Rattus norvegicus: one gene and its partners. The protein of the gene in region 2 interacts with the protein of the main gene of each other region in a pairwise test. Links are inferred from orthologs where the notes say so. Each region holds a gene or a part of one and is shown on either strand. Other genes may lie near its edges. The genes, in order: Cdk4, Setdb1, Mrpl44, Tk1, Tsc22d1 and Mbd1.

Region 1 (4,096 bases), on a different chromosome or scaffold from region 2:
GTGTCTCAAATATGATTTGAGAGTTTAAAGTTCAGGAATATAGCTCAGTGACTGAACCAATTCTTACTACATATAAAAACACTGACTCCAATCCTCGGCACCAAAAATAGGTCTAGATTTTAGCAATTCTTCACAGTTGGGAACATGGTCTTTTATCCTCATGCTCCTAATTGATGGGAGACAATAAAGGAGTTGGAGCCAACCAAATCGTCACACAGATCTACCTCTATCTGACTAGATTTCTGTAGGCAGACCATTTAGGAAACGCTGATCAGGGCAAGGGTACGTTCTAAGCAGGACTGGGGAAAAAAAGGAATGTGACCCCTATGAGGAGTCACAGGTTTGCAGAGGGACACAAGTCATATTCCAGCAATGTGGTGGTGACTGCCCTTGGATGTGCTCACCCTGTTGTCTGTTCATGCAATCACATATATATATAGCAATCTTAGTGTAAAGACACTTGTAAGATCAAGAACCCTTATTTCCAATAACTTCTTGCTGCTTTTAATATTCCTGGGGAGGTTTACAAGTTGGGAAGAAGGAGGGCATTACATTGTCGCCCCCCATACAGCGGCTTACTATGTTAATCTTCTTCTATCCATCTTTTAGTTTCCTCCTCGGATAGAAATTGTCTACTCCCTGTTTTTATAAGACCACGGTTGCCTTATTAGCTATCTTTATCATCACTTCAAAGGGCGGAGTGACTGAGACACCAAAACAAAAACATCGCATACCAACTGGAAGGAAGCACTTAGTAAAATTTTGTTGAATGAATGAGTAAAATGAAGACACAAATACGAATGTTTCCCCATGGCGGTGGAGTGGAAATGTTACAGCACCATCTCTGGCACCAGGATCTCCCACTAGCACCTCGACCTCCCGCCCACATAGAGACGCGTAGTGAGACTGAAGATGCTCTCAGGCTCGGCCTTGAGCTGAGCGTTGAGAGCTGGTTGGCCCGGTTGCCATGGCACCGCCTTGTGCCCCACCCTCTCTCGCCCCCACACACCCCCTCCGCAGTCAGGGTTTGGCAGCCGGTCACGTGCCACACAGCGTAACCACACCTCCGCTTCTCAGCGCAAAGTAAAGGGGTCACGTGGGATAGCAACAGGTCACGTGGCAGTACAGGTCCCGCCCTCTTCCCCCACCACACCCCTCCCATCAAAGGGGCCCCGGTCGCCGAGTGCGCATGGGTGGAGGTCACGTGTCCAGAACGTCCGCCGTCGGCCCCGCCTCCCGGGTTTCCGCGCGCCTCTCTGGCAGCTGGTCACATGGTGAGGGTGGGGGTGAGGGGGCCTCTCTAGCTCGCGGCCTGTGTCTATGGTCTGGCCCGAAGCGTCCAGCTGCCCGGGACCGATCCCCGGTGTATGGCGCCGCAGGAAACGGCTCCCGGGCCCAGATAAAGGGCCACCTCCGCAGCTCTTGGCCGAGCGTAAGGTGAGTGCAACCCTTTCCAGAAGCGGGGGGCCAGTCCCCACGAGCACTAGCACCCTCCAGCTCCCCACGCGTGCGCGTCGCTGGCTGAGTATGGAAGGTGGCCCAATGGCGGGAAGTGGGGCCTTTGTGGTCGTGGGCGAGGGTGTGATTTCAGAGAGTGAAGCGCAGACTGTTCCATGCAAGCCCTGTGCACTGTGATCTTCTTTGTGCCGGGCGCAATGGTCCTCCGAAAGAAAAGAAAGCATTCTTTTCTTCCTCCAGGACAAAACGTGGCTGGAAGAGGGTTTGTTGGAAGTCTTTGTGTTACCTAAGGAGCGCGGGCCCTGGATGTGTGGAGGGTGGGATGCTGGTGATAATGTTGGTGAGGTCTTGTGCAGGAGTTTCTTTGTTACTGCCGGGTCATCTCCTCCTAACTGTGAGAGAGAGCTTGGTATTAGAAGCCTCTGTGATTGTAGATCCCCTGCTCCGAGAATGGCTACCACTCGATATGAACCCGTGGCTGAAATTGGTGTCGGTGCCTATGGGACGGTGTACAAAGCCCGAGATCCCCACAGTGGCCACTTTGTGGCTCTCAAGAGTGTGAGAGTTCCTAATGGAGGAGCAGCTGGAGGGGGCCTTCCCGTCAGCACAGTTCGTGAGGTGGCCTTGTTAAGAAGGCTGGAGGCCTTTGAACATCCCAATGTTGTACGGTGAGAAGGTTGGATTGGGAGTGGGGCGGAGAGGACAATAGGACCCGTTAGTCAGGAGTGGGACCCTAGAACGCCAGAGGCCATGTTGAAACAAAGGGGATGGCCAGCTCCTGACCATTTGTTCTTCTCAGGCTGATGGATGTCTGTGCTACTTCCCGAACTGATCGGGACATCAAGGTCACCTTAGTGTTTGAGCATATAGACCAGGACCTACGGACATACCTGGACAAAGCACCTCCGCCGGGCTTGCCTGTTGAGACCATTAAGGTGAGTGGAGGGGTGGGTGGAGGTGGATTGATATGTGCAGTAGAACTTGTTGGGATTTTGGACACAGTGATACATAGTTTCCACAGTTCTCTGCTTCTTTCTTCAAAACCAGGATCTGATGCGCCAGTTTCTAAGCGGCCTAGATTTCCTTCATGCAAACTGCATTGTTCACCGGGACCTGAAGCCAGAGAACATTCTAGTGACAAGTAATGGGACAGTTAAGCTGGCCGACTTTGGCCTAGCCAGAATCTACAGCTACCAGATGGCCCTCACGCCTGTGGTCAGTAAGACAGTAGCCGGAATAGGTTGGGATTCGGGGTAGGGCTTGGTGGTTTCCCAAAGCGACTAAGGAGTCTTGTACTTGAAGTTTTCAGAGCCAAACAGTTGTTTACGAGGACAACACTCACTTATTTCTCCTATTCTCTTTAGGTTGTTACGCTCTGGTACCGGGCTCCTGAAGTTCTTCTGCAGTCTACATATGCAACGCCTGTGGATATGTGGAGTGTTGGCTGTATCTTCGCAGAGATGTTTCGCCGGAAGTATGGGACTAGAAACATTTGTTTTGTTTGCCATGGGACAGGGTTTTTCTGTGTAGCGCTGGCTACACAGAAACGAGATCAGGCAGGCCTTGAACTCTTGCCTCTGCCTCCAGAGTGCAGGAATTAAAGGCATGTACCACCACTGCCTGGCTGGGACTTGAAACTCTTAAGCCACCTTCAGTTCCACAGATCTTTTGCTGCTCTCTCACGGTGCTAGAGGTTGGAATCAGGACTCACGTACACTCAGCCATGCCTCTATTTCTTTTTCTTTTTCTTTTTCTTTTCTTTTTTTTTTTTTTTTTTTTTTTCAGAGCTGGGGACTGAACCCAGGGCCTTGCGCTTGCTAGGCAAGCGCTCTACCACTGAGCTAAATCCCCAACCCCTCAGCCATGCCTCTGTACCACTAAACTAAACACTCTGCCCCAGGTCTTTTACAGACTTATCTGTTCTTGACCATTCTTGTGCATGTACAGTGCAGGATACCCAACCTGGGGTTTCCATAGGCATGGTCCCCTGCCATCCAGCCATAGTCCCAGCCTACCCAGTTCATACCAATCACCTTGCCTAGAAAAGAAACCACATGGGCAAATCTGAAATGCCCTGGATTTAGTAACTTCCTGTTCCTTAGCTCCACACTCTAGTTTGGTCCACTTAACGGTTACTCCGGTTTTTAAAAGAATGTACTTTGACTATCTTTCTACCTTAGGCCTCTCTTCTGTGGGAACTCTGAGGCTGACCAGCTGGGCAAAATCTTTGAGTAAGTATCCACTAAGGAAAAGGAAAGGAACATTCCATAGCAACTGGCTGGGAAGGGGCCCCTCCTGACAGTTGTCCTGTCCCTACAGTCTCATTGGATTGCCTCCAGAAGACGACTGGCCTCGAGAGGTCTCTCTTCCTCGAGGAGCCTTTTCCCCCAGAGGACCTCGGCCAGTGCAGTCAGTGGTGCCGGAGATGGAGGAATCTGGAGCGCAGTTGCTGCTGGTACTGGGCCTGAGCAGGGATTGGGTTAAGACAAGACACGGCATGGCCTGGGAAGCTGGCTCAGTGGGTAGAGCTCCTTTGCATAAGTACTGAGGACCTGAGTTCAAATCCCCAGAATCCACGTAGAAGTCAGGTGCTTCTGTAGTGCCATTCTTGTGGCGAGATGGACAGATCCCCTGGTAA
Region 2 (3,500 bases):
ACTTATTTATTATATATGAGCAAACTATAGCTATCTTCAGACACACCAGAAGGGGACATCAGATCCCATTACAGATGGTTATGAACCACCATGTGGTTGCTGGGAATTGAACTCAGGACTTCTGGAAGACCAGTCAGTGCTCTTAACCTCTGAGCTATCTCTCTAGCCCTTCCACCCTGTTCTTGAATGTCTAGTCTTCTTCCTCTGTCTATGTGCTGAGAATATTGGTACATGACACCATTCGTGTGTGTGTGTGTGTGTGTGTGTGTGTGTGTGTGTGTGTGTGTGTGTGTGTGTGTGTATGTGTATGTGTAAAAGCTAGAAGTTAATGTTGGGTGTCTTCTTACCTTATATTTCTCCTAATGTCTTTAGACAGGGTCTTGCACTGAAGCTCTGACCAGTCGGCTTGGCTAGGCTGGCTTGCTCACTGGTGGGTGGGCCATCATTCTTTTTGAATCCACCTTCCCCCTACAATGCTAAAGTTGCAAATGTGTGCCATGGCACCCAGCCTATGTCAGGGCGAGGTGTCTGAGTTAGGCTGGAGGATGTTTCAGCAGTTAAAAGCACTCGATGCTCTTGCAGAAGACCCAAGCTCAGTTCCCAGCCCTTGTATTTAGCAGTTCATAACTTTCAGTAACTCCACTTCCAGGGTACCCAATGTACTCTTCTCACTTCTTTTGGAGGGCTGCACATACATGATATACAGAAGTATGCAGGCAAAGTACCTAAAATTTAAAAAAAAATCTTTGAAAGAAATAAAAGTTTGGGGGGGATGAAAAAAGAAACAATAGGCTGTGTTGTCGCTCAGTGGTGGACAGCTCTTACTTTGCTTGTGGATCACCAGCATTGATAAGAAAAAGGAGTAAGCCAGGCAGTGGTGGTGCACACCTCTGATCCCAGCATTGGGTAGACAATGGCGGGGGATCTCCGGAGGCTAGCTTGGTCTCCAAAGCAAGTTCCAGGACAGCCAAGGCTGCACAGGAAAACTGTCTCAAAAAAAAAAAAACAAAAAGAAGGAAAGATGAAGAAACAAAGAAGAGGGAAGGACTGATTGTTTCATATTAGTTTACTATATCTAGGGGTTATTAAGATTCTGCATAAAGTGAAGTGTCTGTTTCTTTCACAGGAATTGCTTCGGTTTGCATGTGGCTTAGTTTAGTATTTAACTTGTATATGCATTTGCACATTAGCCTCTGTACGTAAGATAGTCTTGGTTTTCTTCTCTTGAGGGATTTTTTTCTGTTGATTTTTGGAAGTGCCAGCTGTTCTTTCCTTTAAAGATATGTCCTTCCTATACTTAGCTCTGCTTCTTTCCTTTGGACAGTGAAAAAGACTTGGGAGGACATAGAAGACAGCTCCTGCCGAGACTTCATAGAAGAATATATCACTGCCTATCCAAACCGCCCAATGGTACTTCTCAAGAGTGGCCAGCTTATTAAGACTGAGTGGGAAGGCACATGGTGGAAGTCTCGAGTTGAAGAGGTTGATGGCAGCCTAGTCAGGATCCTCTTTCTGGTAATGTTCTTCCAAAGAACAATTTGTGGTAGTCTTAGGGAGCCAGGTGCCAGGGAAATGGTAAATTGAGTAAAGACACTTGCTGTCGAGCCTGATGATAAGAGGTGACACATGGTATATATTCTCCACAAGAGACAGGATTGAGTCTAACCATGAACTGCTTTTCTCCCTCCCTTTGCCCTGCCTCCCAGGATGACAAAAGATGTGAGTGGATCTATCGAGGCTCTACACGCCTGGAACCTATGTTCAGTATGAAGACATCCTCAGCCTCTGCAATGGAGAAGAAGCAAGGGGGGCAACTCAGAACCCGTCCTAATATGGGTATGCCGTAAAAGACACCCGGGGAGGGAAAAGACAGGGCAGACTAGCACAGAAAGTTAATGTATGGCAGCTGCCCTTTTGTTTACCACAGCAACACCACCAACTCACTGGATAAAGACGTGTTTAAAATATTTCCATTAGTGTTGGTGGCTTTGTGGACCTGCCTCCACATTGCTATGATTTTTATTTATTCTAAATATCCACATATAGCCAGACATGTTGGTGCACACATGTAATCAGTTCCAGCACTTGGAAGACAGAAGTGGGAACATCTGCAATTTAAGACCGTCCTTGGCTACTCAGTGAGTTTGAGGCCAGTCATGATTACATGTGACCATGCCCCAAAAAAACAAGTCTTTCCAAAACCAGTGTTTACTAGTATACCCTCTTACTGGTATAAATAGTAAGAACAAAAGAGGTTAACACTTAGAAAAATGTGTCATTTACCACTTTTGTATGAGAATACAAGCATACTCATATCAAAGTGCTTGTGTAATCAGAGGACCATCCAGCTTTAGAATTAATCTTCCTTGTTTGATCCAAGTTGTGTTGTTCATTGCTACATGTGTAAGGCTAACTGCCCTGCATGGGGGATTCTCTGTTCTCCACCCCCTACTTCCCTGCAGCAGCACTGGGATTACAGACACATGCTGCCATGCCTGGCTTTACATAGGTTTGAATTCACGTCCTTGTGTTTGTGTCACTGAGCCATCTTTATATTCTATTTGCTGCATTCTTCTTGTTCTCATTTGTGTTGGGTTTTCTTTTTGTTGTTTTTCTGAGACAGGGTTTCTCTGTAGCTCTGGCTAACCTGGAACTCACTCTGTAGTCTAGGCTGGCCTTGAACTCACAGAAGTCTATCTACTTCTACATTCCTGGGACTACTGGTGTGCACCACCTCTGCCTGGCCATTTCCTACGTGAATATATTACATTAGTTGATAGGGTTTGTGCATAAGAGTATCTGGCACAGCTGTCATCCTCTCAACAGTCAGTTTTTGTTGGTTTTTCCTGTAGGTGCTGTGAGGAGCAAAGGTCCTGTTGTTCAGTACACTCAGGATCTAACGAGTACTGGAATCCAGTTTAAGCCCATGGAGCCCCTGCAGCCTATAGTCCCACCTGCCCCGCTTCCCATGCTTCCTCTTTCCCCCCAGGCAGGCGACAGTGAGTAAGTGCTCGTCAATCTTTTTACTTCCAGGTATTCTGTTTGTTTGTTTTTTACCACACATACCTTCGGAATCCTTACTATATGGTCTCTTCTCAATCCCCTTAGAAGCTTAGAAAGCCAGCTTGCTCAATCACGGAAGCAAGTAGCCAAAAAGAGCACATCATTCCGACCAGGATCTGTGAGTTCTGGCCATTCCTCCCCTACTTCGCCCACACTCAGTGAAAATGTACCCCCTGGGAAAATTGGAATGAACCAGACATACAGGTAAGAATACCTCAGACACTGGGCAGTTGGATGGACTCCAAGAGCCTTTAAAGTCATGTCAGTGAGAAACATGGTCTTGAAAATGCAGCTTCTGAGAAGCTGGTAATAAGAATAGTTAATTAGAAATTTCATGTCTAAGAAACACACTATCACCAGAAAGTCATTTGCCAAAACTTCTTGAACATTGTAACATCATTGCTTCAGCAGAAAGACCATCAGGTCTTCTCCTTGAC
Region 3 (4,010 bases), on a different chromosome or scaffold from region 2:
CAAGTTAAATAAAGAAAGCTATTAATTAAAGCAAATCTTTAAAATTTGTGTACATTGGCTGCCTCTCAGTGAAGGTGCGGTTCAAGAGATCAGCATTAGATCTAGGGAAGATAAGAGGTTTTTTTTGTAGTCCAGAGTAGGGGGTTTCCAGATGTGGGATTTGGCAGGCAAATAGGCAGAGTTACAGACACAAAACACAAGCACAAGAAGTTGGTTGTAATAACCTCCTGAAACAAAGATGTGGTTGCAAAGTGGTCATAACAACATGTGGTCACGATAACCTTTTGAAACAAATGCATGGTTGCTATTCCTGGAACAGGCAGTACAGAACCATCTGTAGCTAAGGTGACTGGTGGGGTATAGCCTAGTCTTTGAGAAACAGAGATTTAATCATAAACAGGTACAAATGTAGTTTGTCTTTATTGTAAGATGGCTTTCAAGTCAAAGATGAGACAGGCTGGTTCATCAGTTACATCAACCAGCTTCAGATTAATTCTACCAATAAATGTTATGTTGCAGAAATGAAAATTCCCTGTGGTTTCTTGGAATCCATTTATCTGATGGTCCACGAATTTTCAATGCTTTTAATATCATTTTGATTTGTTTTAGAAAATTTGCTTCAACCAGATATCTGTTAGAAGCTCGTTTATAGCCATTCAGATTCTCCATTTTGAAAAAGCTCAAACGAGGGTGCACAATCCTAGCATAAACACCCTAACTGGGCAGTAACATGTCTTGGTCAGTATTTCAAAGCAGGTGAAAATACATTTCCTGGGCAGGAAGACAGATACTAGTCTTGTTTGGAAACCAATTACAATAACCAAAGAGAGGAAGGAAATAAATTAAAAAATAATTTAGTAACCAGAACAAGCTGTGAAAGTAGGCACACCTAAAGACCCTGGAGTCTAAACTGGGTGACCGCAGGGACATTGTTGCCTTTTTTATTAAAACGAAAACGAAACTAGTTTTTGTTTTTGCTTTAATGAGAAATAAACACAAGAGAGACTGACAGGGTCAAGCAACTGTCTCCCAATAATTTCTGCACCCATATTTATAGAATGGGCAGAAAGAAGCACTTGCGCATGCGCACTATGCTAGTCACGCACTTTCTTGGGTGTCCTGCAGCACTGAGGCCTCTTTCTGTTGCTGCACCAGTTTCCGGGCAACCGCGTTCCCACTACACCGGTCCGGCTGTCTTCCTTCCGCTCTCCATTGCCCTGTTCTTGCCATGGCTTCTGCTGTATTCCGGCTGCTGCAGCAGGGCCCTCGCCGCCTCTTGGCTCCGGCCGCCCCTACGTTGGTTCCTCCAGTTCGGGGAGTGAAGAAGGGATTCCGTGCCGCCTTCCGCTTCCAGAAGGAGCTGGAGCGATGGCGCCTGCTACGCAGCCCGCCACCGCCGGTGCGACGGTAGGCGTCTCGGGAGGGTCGAATGGTTGAGGACACTGGGCTGCAGCTGCCTGCCTGCAACTGCGGTGGGGACGTGTCCGCCACCGGCCTGGGGCAGAGGAACTGGGCGACAGAGGCCGGGCTGCCCCCTGCAGAATCTCACTAGCCGAAAATAAGTGGGATCCGACAGAGGGTAACTGCTTGTAATTGGAATTGGCCCAATTTTGTCCCTTCCTAATCTCAGGCCAATTGGGTACCTTTAAGAGAAATAGGATCGTTCATTCTACAGCGTTGCGTACCAGGGCAGAAAAATTTAGTTCTATGTAAACTGAATTTCGTGTCCACTGCCTGGAGTAAGAGGGTAAAAGTTTAGGTTTTTGATCTAATTAATCTTGTTGCCTGAGGGCTGGGGGAGGACGAATGAAAACAACCAACAAAAAACTCCACACGTTTTTATTAAGTGCATCATGCTCATATATGATCCTGCATCTTGCATATTCTGTTTACTCTGTCTTTGTGGACAAAAGTACACGAAGGTCGACTTCATTCTTACAGTTGCACTGGCATTTGACTTTCGTTAGATTGTTAGTACACATGTGAAGCAGAAACTGTCTCTAGCTAGTTATTCCTGAGCTGAAATTTTGATTGCCTTAATATTGCCCTCCAGGAGAGTATTGACCTCTGTTCACACTAACACCAGTGAGAACACACCTTCTATTACAAAGAATTGTGGCTTAATAAGCAAAACTCAGAATCATGTCTTAATTTTCATTCCCTTGCCCAGTAGACAGGTGGGTATTTTAAGATTCATGAATTAAAATTGGGAAAAACTGTAGAAAACAAATTTAGATTTTCAACTTAGATCTCTCTACGTTTCTTCTCTCTCTTTAAAGAGTTTTGTTTTGGCTATATTTTTCTCTAGGAAAAGATGTTTTAATTCTTGTCTGTGTGTGACTGTGTAGTGTACCTGCACACACCAGGCCTTTGTGTCTGCTAGATAGGCACTCTACCGCTGAATTACAACAGCCTCAACTCTCACCCATGGTTATGAACTTTTAAAACACTTAGAATACTGATACTAGCTTATGTAACTGGAAATTCAAGTGGACATTTCTGAGATTTAAATAAATAGGATATAAGCTAAATAGAATTACTTTTAGTTTGTGGCCTGAATCTATATAGTTATAATTTGTTCATACTCAGGTGGAAAGCATTATTTCACAGTTAGAGCAGAAGGAAGGAACTTAAAAGCTAGAAGAGCAGCCTAATCTGATGTGAACAGTCTCTTTAATATGGCAATGAAGCCAAAATGAAAAAATTAATCCACATTTATGGAGACTGATAAAGGACTGTCAGCGTTCACCTGTATTCTTTTTTTGTATCTAAACTGTCAAAACCCGACAATAAAAGAAAAATAAAATGATTGCGTTCCTCTGTGTAATAGTTACAGCACAGTTGTACGTGGTACCATGCCCTTCTCCTTACCATCTCTTACTGTTTCTACCTCCTCAGCTCAGAGAAGCCAAACTGGGATTACCATGCGGAGATACAAGCCTTTGGGTCCCGGTTACAAGAGGCCTTTTCGTTGGACCTTCTCAAAACAGCATTTGTCAATAGCTGCTACATCAAAAGTGAAGAGGCGAAACGTCAGAACCTCGGCATAGAGAAAGAAGCCGCTCTTCTGAATCTTAAGGACAATCAAGAACTGTTTGAGCAAGGGCTGTCTTTTTCACATCGGTGCCTCACACAGTTTCTTGAAGACGAGTTTCCAAACTTGCCCACCGAAGGCATTGAGAGTCTAGTTAACTTTCTTACTGGTGAGGCAGTTGTCTGTCACGTGGCCAGTAACTTGGCTGTGGAGCAGTTGACGCTCAGTGCGGAGTTTCCTGTCCCCCAGCCTGTGTTACGTCGGACTTTCTTTGCAGTAATTGGAGCCCTGCTCCAGAGCAGTGGTCCTGAGAGGGCTGCACTGTTCATCAGGGTGGGTAATGGTTAATAGCACTTGTCCAGACCTGCTCGATGTAGACAGAGGGGGAAGTGTCTTTTTCTCATGCATTCCTTTGCTAGATGTTGGTAGAACAGAATGTTCCTACCTCCCAAAACTTACAAAGACTCAAAACTATTTCTTTTAAAGATTTATTTATTTTATGTATATGAATACACTGAACTGTCTTCAGGCACACCAGAAGAGGGCATCAGATCTCATTACAAATGGTTGTGAGCCACCATGTGGTTGCTGGGAATTGAACTCAGGACCTGTGGAAGAGCAGTCAGTTTTCTTAATTGCTGAGCCATCTCTCCAGCCCAGCCCAAACTTTTTATGGTAACTTTGTGGTTGTTATTTCAGTTTTCTTTTGCCAATACCCTGGAAAGCAAATAATACATGCTGGGTTGTGAGTTCTGCAGATTTAAGTTATTTTTAGCTTTTTTAAGTTTTTTGTTTTGTTTTGGTTTATTTATTTATTTATTTATTTTTTGGTTCTTTTTTTCGGAGCTGGGGACCGAACCCAGGGCCTTGCGCTTCCTAGGTAAGCGCTCTACCACTGAGCTAAATCCCCAGCCCCGTTTTGGTTTATTTTTTAAGGAGAAAATGTTTGTGTATAGTCCGACATGGAGGAAAGGCG
Region 4 (3,500 bases), on a different chromosome or scaffold from region 2:
TGCTTACTCTGTGCTCTCCTGGTATTCCCAGAGGCCCAGCCGCACTCCCTAGGCACTACCTTCTTTTCTTTTCTTTCTTTCTTTCTTTCTTTCTTTTTTTTTTTTTAAAGATTTGTTTATTTATTCACTATAGCTGTCTTCATGCACACCAGAAGAGGGCATCAGATCCCGTTACAGATGGTTGTAAGCCACCACGTGGTTGCTGGGAATTGAACTCAGGACCTCTGGAAGGGCAGTCAGTGCTTTTAGCCGCTGAGCCATCTCTCCAGCCCACTACCTTCTTTTCTTAGCTCTTCCTGCTTGATAGACTCATACCCAGGTCTGGCACCAGCCTACCAGTCGCCCCAACCCTCTTCCCCATCCTAACCTATAGGAGAGATTTATTTCTATGCGCCCCACCCCCACCCCACCTTATGATTAAGGAAAACGAGTTCATTTAGTGGCTACTTGGAGTTTTGGGGTGGGGTCTTGCTTTGTGGTCCAGGCTAGATTAGAACTCGGGCCCCTGAGTGCTGGTATTGTGTAGTCATGGGCCCTCGCACAGGCTACAGTGAGTATTCAGTGTGCACTGTATAAACAACACAATTCTTGTGTGCTTCCGCCCCAGACTCTAGACCCTGTTCCTTACTAAGTTCAGGATCTCCTCGTGGTAACACAAGGAGATTGCCCTTCCTTCCTGTGTCCTCAGACAGTGGGTAGAGGGTCCTGTAGGGTCCCTGGAGCCAGAGCTGAGGACATAGAGCTTCCCGTGTGTTCATTCACCAGAAGCAGGGCCCACAGCTTCTGGGCAAGATTAGAAGCTTGCATCGTTAAGAACTTTGTTTCCCTTCTTTTTGACGCAGTAATGACAGGCTCAATGTAGGGCACAGCAGGAGCACACCAGACAAAGGAGGCTTGCCACTTAAGTGTCTTTGAACCAGAAACTACCAGGAATGCCCTGCGAGCCAATATTGTGGGTTCTAAAGCCTGCCACGGGGCAAACACTAGTCGTGGAACAGTGGCCCTCCGGGAGGGGACCGAGCTCCTTTTGGCGGAAGGGTGGTGCTTGTTTGATTGCTTCTGGCATAGACTGCACCTGCTTTGTCAGTGGTCACGTGAGACTGAGGAAGGGTCTTTATTCATGCGGCCAGGGTGCCTGCCTTGCCTGGTGTTGACCCAAGAGATTATGTTCAGCCAGTGCCAGGACTCTGATGAATGCCAGTCCAGCCTGGACGCTTCTAATTATACACGTGTGTTTTTATAGAGCAAGCCATGTCACATGCTGTGACTATTGTGGGAATGGCTGAGTCCAGGGACCAATCGCATCCATTCCAAGTTTCTGCCCTTTGGCTGCGGCATTCTAGGTCTGGAGATAAATCTGGAGCTTCCACCTCACCTCCGTTGAAAGACTAAAACTGGGAGGGACCGTGGAAGAAGAGAAAGGTTAGAACGTTAAGGTGTAGGGCAGAGATATGTTCAAGAAAAGGTCCAAGAACCAGGCAGGCAGGAGATTGCTTTGCAACCCAGGCCAGCCTGGGTTGCACAGCAGTAACCAATCAAAAGTGAGAGACAGAAGGGATGGGGAGACAGTTCTGTCAGTGAGGGAGGCCCTGGCTCTGCAGGCATGAGTGCCTGAGTTTGGGTCCCTAGCACCCGTGTACAACACTGGGTATAGCCACATGTCCATAATCCCAGTGTGAGGAAGGCAGAGACAGGCAGGCCCCTGGAGCTCCCTGACTAGGCAGCCCAGCCCAGTAGCTGTGCTCCAGATTCAGGAAGAGACCCAGCTCAAACGAAATGGAAGCGCCAGGCTCATAGCATAGGCCTTTAATCTTAGAACTTCAGGGGCAGAGGCAAGTAGATCTCCTGAGTTCAAGGCTAACCTGGTCTACACCCGTGCTGTGAAGGGGGAGGCTGGCCTGAGAGACAGTGGAAGGCGGAGGGCAGCTATCCCTGCCAACCTACTTACGTACGCCTTGTACATCTCATTACCAAGAGTCCCCCTCCTCCTTCCCTCCCTTCCTCCCTCCAGCTGTCCATGGGGGCTAAAAGTGCATGTGTGCATGTGAGGGTGGGTGCCTGCAGATGCCAAAAGAGGACATTAGCTGTCCTTGCATCTGGAGTTACAGATGGTTTGTAAGCTATCTGTTGTGGGTGCTGGGAATTGAATTCTAGTTATCTATAAGAACAAGCCATGCTTGTAACCCCTGAACCATCTCTCCAGCCCTGGTTTATTTTAACTTCCTAATCCTTCTACCTTTAAAGTAGTGGTATTGTGTTGGACACCTTGTCTGGCTCATTTGATGTGGGGGTAGGGGATGGGGGTGGAGCCAAGGGCTTCATGCACACTGTTTAAGCTGTTCAACCCCAGGGGGGTCTCGACCCACTAGTTGAGAACTGCTGTTCCAGCCTCTCTGGTATGTAGAGGCCTCTGTGGGCCAGCCCTGGGTAGCAGTGGGCATGCAGGTGGGATGTTTCACAGGAGTGGCAGTGCGGTCTGATCTCCGGCTCTGGGCTTACCTGTGTGCTCGGATCCCTCACCGTCTTCATGAGGCCCTTGCTCAGGACGGCTCACTTCATCCTCTCTGAACTTTCCTAGTTCCCTGACATTGTGGATTTCTGTGAAACGATGGCCAATACAGGCAAGACAGTGATTGTGGCGGCGCTGGACGGAACCTTCCAGAGGAAGGTAAAGATGTCTGACCCATGGCAGCGGTCTTGAGAGGGGAGACAGCATGCAAGGTCTCCCCATGCAGCTCTCTAGTGAAGCAGGACCAGTAAAGTATGATGTTGCTGAATCATGGGGTTTAAAAGAGAAGCGTTGGGCTGGGGGCAGCCCAGGCTGTAACACACTTGCCTTGCACACAGGCTTGCGTCAGTTCCGCAGAACTCCCTCCACACGCATACACGTGAACACAGGCAGGGAGGGAAGTGCCTGGCTAACACTTTTGCTGTCCTGTGTAGGCTTTCGGCAGCATCTTGAACCTGGTGCCCTTGGCCGAGAGTGTGGTGAAGCTCACCGCTGTGTGCATGGAGTGCTTTCGAGAAGCTTCCTACACCAAGAGGCTGGGCCTGGAGAAAGAGGTATCTCCTTGTGCTTCTGCCCACGGAGTGGGGTGGGCTTAGGCTTCTGAGTCCTCCCTCATACGCCTCTCCTACCAGGTGGAGGTGATTGGCGGAGCGGACAAGTACCACTCTGTTTGCCGCCTGTGCTACTTTAAGAAGTCTTCAGCCCAGACTGCAGACAACAAAGAGAACTACTCAGTGCTGGGGCAGCCTATAGAGATCCCGGCTGTCAGGAAGCTCTTTGCCCCTCAGCAAATCCTACAGTGTAACTCTGCCAACTGAGGGGACCCGGGGCCTGCCAGCTCCTTCCCCAGGTTGGACTCCCAGAGAGCAGGGAAAGGGGCGGGGCCTGCCATTCCTACTGGACATTGCACCTTGGCTTATCTGCTTGTTGAAACCTTTCTTAGTTCCCTTCTTATAATGGTTGTGAGCCCCCAACCCAACGCTTCTCTCTT
Region 5 (3,500 bases), on a different chromosome or scaffold from region 2:
AAGAAAACCCTGATTTCCAGGCTAGGGAGACGGCTCACTCTTTTACCTTACAAGATGGGAGGTGCTTGCTACACAGCATGTGAACCTGAGTTTGGACCCCAGAATCCATAGAAAAGCCTGCCTCAGAGGCACAGGCTTCTAATGTCAGCACTGAGGAAGTACAGACAAGGGTATCCCTGAGGCTCACTGGTAAACCAGCCCAGCCAGCACAGTGAGCTCCAATTTAATCTCAAAAAATAAATTGGACACAGTTGAGGGAGACAATTGACACTGACCTCTGACTTCATGATCACATACAGGCATGCAACCAAAAATAAACAAACAAACAAACAAACATGAAAAAGAAAACCCACTTGTTCCTGTATAATACTTGAGGGCTATGAAACAGACACTATTTACAAGGCTGACACCATGTCACCTTAAGGAGCAAGAAGATAGCAAAGTCACATTGCTCATTCAATTTATTACATAAATTATAGCACCTGCATTTCTAATGGTGTGGTTAAGATGACAAAGTGAGCTGTGCCTTCATCGGAAAAACAGAAAAAGATCTGCTAAGTTTGTTGAAAAAAAAAAAAAAAGAAAAAAATTTTTTTTTGTTCCTGCCCTTGTGGGAAAGACTGGTAAACATCATTATCACCAAATATACAGTACTTAAATAGGACAGTAAAATGTGCTGAGGAGACACCCCCTGGGGAAGAACAATCTTTCAGAGGGAACATCTGAGCTTTGCTTATAAACAAGAATTTCACATAGCACTGTGCTAACAAGTACAGAACATTAGAGCAAAATAACTGTGTCTTCCAGTTCCTGCAAACGTTAAGTCACGTTAAAGGCGAAGACATCAAGACCTTTATAATAAAATGGCCTTTAAAAAAAATGTCGCATGATCTTCCATCGTCTGCAATGTTTAGTCTCCTCTGAGTAACACAGTGGCTAAGAGGACAACCCGAAGGCACTTTCCCCATGTCTGAGCATCTAACTCTAAAGAGTAGACTATATCGCAGTATATACGCAAGGGTGATCTCTCTCTCCTGCCACCAAACAGTTTCATGTTAGCATTACTTCCTGGGTCATAAAGTGAAATGAGGGCACAGCCCTTTCTTCCAAAGGAGATCAATGGTGACAAAGCCTGCAGGATGCAGGTGACACAGACTGCGTGGAGCAAAGGCAGTGAGTGGCTCTAAGGCTGCTTCACTTTTGCCTCTCCTAGGTATTTCCCAATTATCTCCCAAGGGCAAATTTAAGTGATTTTTTTTTTAAATCAAACTACAGTGAGATTAAAAACAATCTGCAATAAAACACAATTAAAAATAGACCTGGATGGTCGGTCCTGCATGCTCCTTGGCTGGGGGACTAAGATCTTAAGAGAACTTGAAGGAGGCCTGGCAAACAATGTGTCCAGTCTTGATGACTCAACTTTGATGTGAACTGACACAGGTTTGTAATGAAGTTCAAAGACAGTCTGAGGACTGCTTCTGTTAGTTACTGCACACAACTACCTCACATGCCCCCATGCTGCTGCCCTGGAACATAACTCCACCCCACTGACTCCTGACCCACCTTCATCTCAGTCACTATGTGTCTACTGGGAAAGGGCTCTGCACTCTCACACTGGGATTCACCCTACAGATAAAAGCTAGTGCACAGTATCCTGCCTTAACTGTGGACAGGAGGTCTTCCCAAGGCCTGCCATCTCCCTGCCAACAGGAGGAAAACAATGGAAGCCCTCTTAGGAGCCCACAAACAGTAATTAAGAAAACCTCCACGGTTTGTAAGCAGTGTGCGGCTTCCATCGCTCTCTGTCACCTGTCTTTGACATCCTAGGTCAGCTTCTGTATTACACGGTTAAACAGGAGCTTCGCTTGAACTGATTTAGATTTAGGAAACCAAAAAGAGTAAATAATTTCTTAAACTAAATTACAGGTGAGGTTCAGAATGATAAAGATAAAATTAAAGGTTGAACAATAATTATAATTGGACTACTACAGAAACTACATCTTACAAGTCTCTCTTGTGAAGTACTTCTGTATGGGGGTAAGGACTACATTTAGTTAGTAACAAAATTTAAGTATATGACTACTAGAAAAAAACACTAAAAAAGTATTTTCCCCTGATTTCAAGTATCATTATCTTTTAAACAACTTGGGGGAAAATGATGAAAACGTCACTAAAACACATGGCCATTTTTTCTCTTTATAAAATTCTTTTGCAACAGTTTCAGTTTTTCCAAAGTAAACCCACGAATATACAAATAGACTATAAATGCTTCAATTGGAATGGTTGAAAACTTAATGTCAAAAATCTCCAACAGATACTAAAATAACTCTCTTAAATGTTTTTCAAAACTTCAGTGAAGAAGTCTTTTTACAACTACTATACTTCTGTTCACTATATACACTGGCAAAATTACAAAAAACTTTCCTTTAAAAAAATCTTAAAGCAATGTAGACATAGAGTTCACAGCTTCTCTGGCAATCTGATGCATTAAGTGATTAGCATATTATTTCCAATATGATTTTAAAAAAAAATGCTGGCCTAATACTGACTTTTAGACTCTGTCTTTTGGCAAGAGAAGAAACAGGTGGGACAGATTAGCCTGTATAAAATCAGCCCTTTAAGACTGAGTGCATGCTTTAAAATGGCTACCACTTTTATCTACTCTCAAAAGGAAAAAAAGTACAGCCATTACTTACTACTAAGGATAAAGTAGGCATTTTGTCCTCGAAAAACACGCGTTAAGACTTCTATTCCTCCTCTGTCCGGACAGAGTTTACAAAAGCCGGTTGCTAACAGTATGAGGACAACCTACATCACCCAGATTAGGTCATCTTTCCCACAGTGCCTTAGGAGGACAAGCAGGTAACAGTATCTTTCAAAGCCTGAGATCAAACTTCCTAGGAAACAAGAAATGTGGGAGCCACAGCGCCTAACAAGAAATGATCATTAAGATTTTAGTAGCTCAAAAGAATAGCTTTAACTATTTCGTGGGATAACCAAATCTAAGCTGCTTTGCATAATCTTCTCAAAAGCACTTTATAAATAATAAAATCTACCTGGTAGCCCCGTCTATTTGTAATATACACTTACACTTTTATAACTATCGTGAACATTATGTTCATAACCTAGTCTGCCTCCCAACCACTCTGAAACCATTCTGTAAGATTCTTACCCTGGAAAACTTACCATGAATATGCACTTCTCACATGCAAATGGAAAGGCATATATATACATATGGACTAAGTGCACCCACACGTACTGCTGCTAAAGAGATCAACTTTGAACTGCCCGATGCCTGCAGAAGCACATGATCTTACCTCTCGTCCTCGCCATCCACCAGGGGTGTTGTCAGCGGTAGCACCTTCAACGGGAAGAGAGAAGCAGAGGCTGCTAGGCTGCTGCTACTCCCATCTGAGACTGCTGACACTCCCCCACTGTCACCACTGAGAGTCTGAGGTAAGCCGCCTGAGGAGGGCTCCGCTGGACGCCTGGTGTCTTCC
Region 6 (4,249 bases), on a different chromosome or scaffold from region 2:
AGTCAAATGATAACATTGCCCTTTCTGGGCCCCTGATTGTTTATCAATAGTAAACAAAAGTTGTGTGTGTGTGTGTGTGTGTGTGTGTGTGTGTGTTACACACAATGGGGCTGAAGGTAGAAAACACCTTTTGACTGCCAGAGTTGTCAGTAGAAACAAGAGGGTGGGCTCCGCTATTCTCATTCTTCTCCTTACAAGGACAGGAATGGCTGGATCAACAGACTTAGGAGCTTTATGTTAGCCCTAAGGAACCAAAACTTGTGACTTCTGAGTTCCTACGGGCAAAATAGTACCATTTAGCCCAACATGAATATGAATCAGTGATTTGATCCACATGATTCAGAACCAGTGGAGAATGTAGTGTGGCCCAAATCAAGACACTTTCCTCAGGTGTGCTTTACTTTACCTCAGGGCTTCAGTCTATCAGCAGAACCTGGAAACAACTCCAGGGAATCCTCAAAGTCTCTTTATCCATGTCCCCAAAATGTGTAATTACTGTGCAGTGATTAACTGCTAGCTCTGACTTCTTTAAACATGCTTATGGTTGTATGCAAGGTGGAAGAAAAGCATTTTCTCACATAGCTACAAATTCCTCATAAATGAACCAATTGTGGTTTTGCCTTTAAAACTCCCCCTTCCCTTTTAGCCTGGGTTTCAGTCTCTTATCTAGATCTGGTGGGTGCAGTTAGCTGGCCAGCTTAATAAAATTCAGCTAATTGGATTTCATCGAGTGATCTTTCCCAGTCGTCTGGAACTCTCCAACTCTGTAACACACATAACACAGCAGTGCCGAGGAGCAGGTGTGTGAAGCACGCAAAACGGAGTCGTCTTAAAGCAAAATAAATTACCTTGGTCAGTTCACCATTCTCTCCTATTGGGCCTCTGAGGAATGGCAATCTCTCCCTTGGCGCCCTCATTATATTTGCTTGCATACCACGCCTCCTCCTTGTTTCCCAAGAAGGGACCCTGGCCAGGGTGCTGTGATCCTATTCACGAAGTGGGTACCAGTCCTGAAGAAGGTAATCACAGGAACAAAGGAGCTGTGTCTCCGGGAAAAGGAAGTGGACAGGCTTAACTTCGTTGCTGGTGGTTTTTGTGGAGACGTAAATTAAGAGTGGGCCGAGCCAGCGAGGCAATTCACGCCCCCTTGTGTCTGGAGCCACTTTGGAGACCAGCAGCAGGGAAGATTGCATTGACTGGGCACCATCCTCGGTGCGCAGGCGCACAGTCAAGAGAGACCCGGCGGGCTGCGGGTGTTGTCAGTGCGCAGGCGCTGCAGGTTCCCGACAAACCGCGCGCCCCTGAAACCGCAATACGCAGGCGCGGAGCCTCCCCATTGAGGGCACGCGTGACAAGGCTGCACACACAGGTGCTGGTCCTAGTCGGAGCCCCAAAGGCAAGCATTGGGTTTCCGGTTCCGGGACTAACCAACCGCCGCAGAGGCGACAACTACTGTTTTGGAAGAGGCTGCGGTGGAAGAGGAGGAAGAAGAAGAGTAGAACCGGCGGGTCGCGCAAGCGGGATCCTTCCCATGGGTCCACCGGCCTAGAGCCGAGGAAGCTGCGAGCCTGGTGTCAAGCTGGTGAGATAGCGGTGGGAGTGGCGAGAGCTCAGGAGGAGTCTGTGGAGGCGCCGAACGCTAGCGGGGAGACGCGAAGGGCCCTCACGTCAGGGGAAGGAATGGCTACTTCCGGATATTGAAAGAGAGGACTGGGGGGACTGGATAAGAAGACAGAAAAGGAAAAGATGTGGCTCAGGACATTGACAGTGATGTTGAGATTATAGGACCAGGATGGCCAGGAGAAGAAGAGAGAGAACGTTCAGAGAGTCATTGGGCCTTCGTGTTAACAGGATAGAAATGGGGTCCCAAAGCTGATAATGCAAGGATAGGGCCTCGAGACAGTAGAAATAGTAGGGTTAGAATAATGAGGGACGGACTGGAGACTCGTGGCGAACAAAAAGGAAGTAGAATGTCTGATGGTTGGGAGGCTATGGCGTTGTCCTGGAACACAGGCTAAGAAATAAGAGAGGCAGGTCACTGTGGAGGAACAAGGAAGTTTCACAAGATGATAAGAGAAATGGAGAATGATACGTACAGTTAAGAGAAAGAGTAGCTAACACTGGCCATAGGGGTGAGCAATAGAGTCATTTGAGACTGAGACTGGAGAGGAGTTATGGATCGGAATAAGTGAGGGAAAAATAAACTTTGGGGAGAGCTCTTGAACGTAAGGGGAACAGAACACATGAGAGGCTTCCAGCCTGAGAAATGGCAAGAATGTTTGATCCAGTGTATGGAGGAATCCAGGACTCAGACACAGAGATGCAGCTAGAGCACTGCAAGACATTGGAAATTCAGGTGAAGGAAAGTTTAAATGTGTGGTTAGAACACTGGTGTAGTATCCTGAGAAGGAAAGAATTGGGGGCCTCTTACCCAGAGTAGGAGGAACAAGTCTTCTCAGACTGAGGAGGGGTAATATGCATGTTTGGAGGAGAACAAAAAGGAGGGATGGGACTGTTAAGTCAAAGACTGGGAGTATTTCCTGCACCAAGGACATACTTGTGCTAATCTGGGGTTAAGTATTAAAGGAAACGTATGGCTTTTGTGGCCTGGAAATAATTGGCCACTTTTCCCCATACTTTACCTTCTTCCAATCTTGCAGGCTTCTGAAGCATCTATGGCTGAGGCCTGGCAGGACTGCCCAGCCCTGGGCCCTGGCTGGAAACGCCGAGAGGCCTTTCGAAAGTCAGGGGCCTCGTGTGGACGCTCAGACATCTATTATCGGAGGTAACGGGTGGGCTGTGGACAGCGTTCAGTGGAGTTGGACATCGTTAGTAATTAAAGGGGGTGGTGTGTTTAAATCTATGGATGTGGTTAAAGTTGTGCACATAGTCCTTGTTAAAAGTTTTGTGTTTTCTTAATCACCTATTCTTAATAAAGTTTATTTGATCAAAGTCGATACTCACAGTACATTTGTGATTATTCACAGACACACATGGGATAGCTAAAGAATTTGAATTGCCTAGTGCATGTATTTGGAATCAAAGTTGAATAAGAACTCTTATATATTCTCTCTCTCTCTCATTCTTTCTGGTTCTATAAACTGGTCCACCGTCTATTTAGAGCCATATTTTTGTTGTTGGCAAATTTGTTGTTTAAAATGATTCCCAAATCAATTGCTGAAGTATTTTCTAGTGCTCCGAGAGCAAGGATACTGCCTTTTCTCCTTGCCAGATAGGCTTCTTACACGCATGAATTGCAATGCTATCCGGTTGAGTTACAGCGTTCAAAATCAGAAATGGTCCATCCGGAAAGAGAAGAGGAAGCATGTTCAGATGTGTGTGAGGCTGTTCTGGAAAGAGCAGATACTGTTGTAGGGTATTTAATCACACTGTGAACCCTGGGATTAGTTGTATTTACTGGGGGGGGGGGGGAAACCTGGGGTTAGCTGTGGTGTGGCTGAACCTTAGGTCAAGAGGCAGAACAAGCAGCCAGTTGACAGGAAGTGAGCATAAGATTATTAAAGAATTATGGAGAGTAAGAGGTAGTCAGAAGGGTGGACAGAGGGATCCACAGTAGAAGGGAGGACATTCAGTTTGAGGAAGGGATTTTGCATGAGTAGGGACTGCTTGGGCTGTCAGCTGAGGAGGAAGGTCTGCTGGGTGCTCTCTCTGCCTCTCTGAGCTGTCATGCTCTCACCCCAGCATCTGGCTCCCAAGTCTTCTGTGGTAAAATCGAATGCCTGAGATTTTGTTTAAACACCACAAAATTAGGAACAACAGTAAACAGCAAAATTTGTGAAACGGTGAACCAATGGGCAGTAAAGCCTGGTGACCTGCATTGTTCTAAGGAAAGCCAAAGACTTGTCAGTGGGCACTAGAGAAACATAAACATCGGGGGTTGGGGATTTAGCTCAGTGGTAGAGCGCTTGCCTAGGAAGCGCAAGGCCCTGGGTTCGGTCCCCAGCTCCGAAAAAAAGAACCAAAAAAAAAAAAAAAAAAAAAAAAAAAAACCAGAGAAACATAAACATCTCAGCTGATGCTGGCTGGCTTGCATGTTTCAGAAGGTGATATGATGTAAAAACATGGTACTTATAGTACAGGTTCTGTACGGCAGGTATCTTTAGAAAAACAAAATATCAGCAGGCAAACCTAGATAAAACATCCTCTAAAGCCAGTGGCTCTTACTCTTTAACAGTCCTGGAGTCATTCGTAAGAAACAAATGTTACAGTGTTTTTAAGCAAAGACACA

The links.
Region 1: the proteins of Setdb1 (region 2) and Cdk4 interact in a two-hybrid assay, tested with the Homo sapiens proteins (2 studies listed by BioGRID and IntAct). The link is inferred for Rattus norvegicus from reciprocal best matches to the Homo sapiens genes SETDB1 and CDK4.
Region 3: the proteins of Setdb1 (region 2) and Mrpl44 interact in a two-hybrid assay, tested with the Homo sapiens proteins (2 studies listed by BioGRID and IntAct). The link is inferred for Rattus norvegicus from reciprocal best matches to the Homo sapiens genes SETDB1 and MRPL44.
Region 4: the proteins of Setdb1 (region 2) and Tk1 interact in a two-hybrid assay, tested with the Homo sapiens proteins (2 studies listed by BioGRID and IntAct). The link is inferred for Rattus norvegicus from reciprocal best matches to the Homo sapiens genes SETDB1 and TK1.
Region 5: the proteins of Setdb1 (region 2) and Tsc22d1 interact in a two-hybrid assay, tested with the Homo sapiens proteins (2 studies listed by BioGRID and IntAct). The link is inferred for Rattus norvegicus from reciprocal best matches to the Homo sapiens genes SETDB1 and TSC22D1.
Region 6: the proteins of Setdb1 (region 2) and Mbd1 interact in binary tests that used the Homo sapiens proteins (3 or more experiments, as listed by UniProt). The link is inferred for Rattus norvegicus from reciprocal best matches to the Homo sapiens genes SETDB1 and MBD1.

The regions. Positions count from the first base shown.
Region 1 is NC_086025.1:64,770,157-64,774,252, forward strand, and holds the start of Cdk4 (cyclin-dependent kinase 4), read left to right. Parts: upstream 1-1,296; 5' UTR 1,297-1,437; intron 1,438-1,892; 5' UTR 1,893-1,908; coding exon 1,909-2,126; intron 2,127-2,257; coding exon 2,258-2,393; intron 2,394-2,505; coding exon 2,506-2,673; intron 2,674-2,822; coding exon 2,823-2,932; intron 2,933-3,638; coding exon 3,639-3,689; intron 3,690-3,777; coding exon 3,778-3,913; intron 3,914-4,096.
Region 2 is NC_086020.1:185,601,983-185,605,482, reverse strand, and holds part of Setdb1 (histone-lysine N-methyltransferase SETDB1), read left to right. Parts: intron 1-1,324; coding exon 1,325-1,515; intron 1,516-1,706; coding exon 1,707-1,836; intron 1,837-2,852; coding exon 2,853-3,003; intron 3,004-3,108; coding exon 3,109-3,267; intron 3,268-3,500. UniProt on the Homo sapiens protein: Histone methyltransferase that specifically trimethylates 'Lys-9' of histone H3. H3 'Lys-9' trimethylation represents a specific tag for epigenetic transcriptional repression by recruiting HP1 (CBX1, CBX3 and/or CBX5) proteins to methylated histones.
Region 3 is NC_086027.1:88,553,840-88,557,849, forward strand, and holds the start of Mrpl44 (39S ribosomal protein L44, mitochondrial), read left to right. Parts: upstream 1-1,210; 5' UTR 1,211-1,228; coding exon 1,229-1,407; intron 1,408-2,898; coding exon 2,899-3,367; intron 3,368-4,010. UniProt on the Homo sapiens protein: Component of the 39S subunit of mitochondrial ribosome. May have a function in the assembly/stability of nascent mitochondrial polypeptides exiting the ribosome.
Region 4 is NC_086028.1:103,534,778-103,538,277, reverse strand, and holds part of Tk1 (thymidine kinase, cytosolic), read left to right. Parts: intron 1-2,578; coding exon 2,579-2,668; intron 2,669-2,943; coding exon 2,944-3,063; intron 3,064-3,141; coding exon 3,142-3,327; 3' UTR 3,328-3,500. UniProt on the Homo sapiens protein: Cell-cycle-regulated enzyme of importance in nucleotide metabolism. Catalyzes the first enzymatic step in the salvage pathway converting thymidine into thymidine monophosphate.
Region 5 is NC_086033.1:58,162,778-58,166,277, reverse strand, and holds part of Tsc22d1 (TSC22 domain family protein 1), read right to left. Parts: coding exon 3,318-3,500; intron 1-3,317. UniProt on the Homo sapiens protein: Transcriptional repressor. Acts on the C-type natriuretic peptide (CNP) promoter. Acts to promote CASP3-mediated apoptosis.
Region 6 is NC_086036.1:70,143,803-70,148,051, forward strand, and holds the start of Mbd1 (methyl-CpG-binding domain protein 1), read left to right. Parts: upstream 1-1,449; 5' UTR 1,450-1,582; intron 1,583-2,660; 5' UTR 2,661-2,675; coding exon 2,676-2,785; intron 2,786-4,249. UniProt on the Homo sapiens protein: Transcriptional repressor that binds CpG islands in promoters where the DNA is methylated at position 5 of cytosine within CpG dinucleotides. Binding is abolished by the presence of 7-mG that is produced by DNA damage by methylmethanesulfonate (MMS).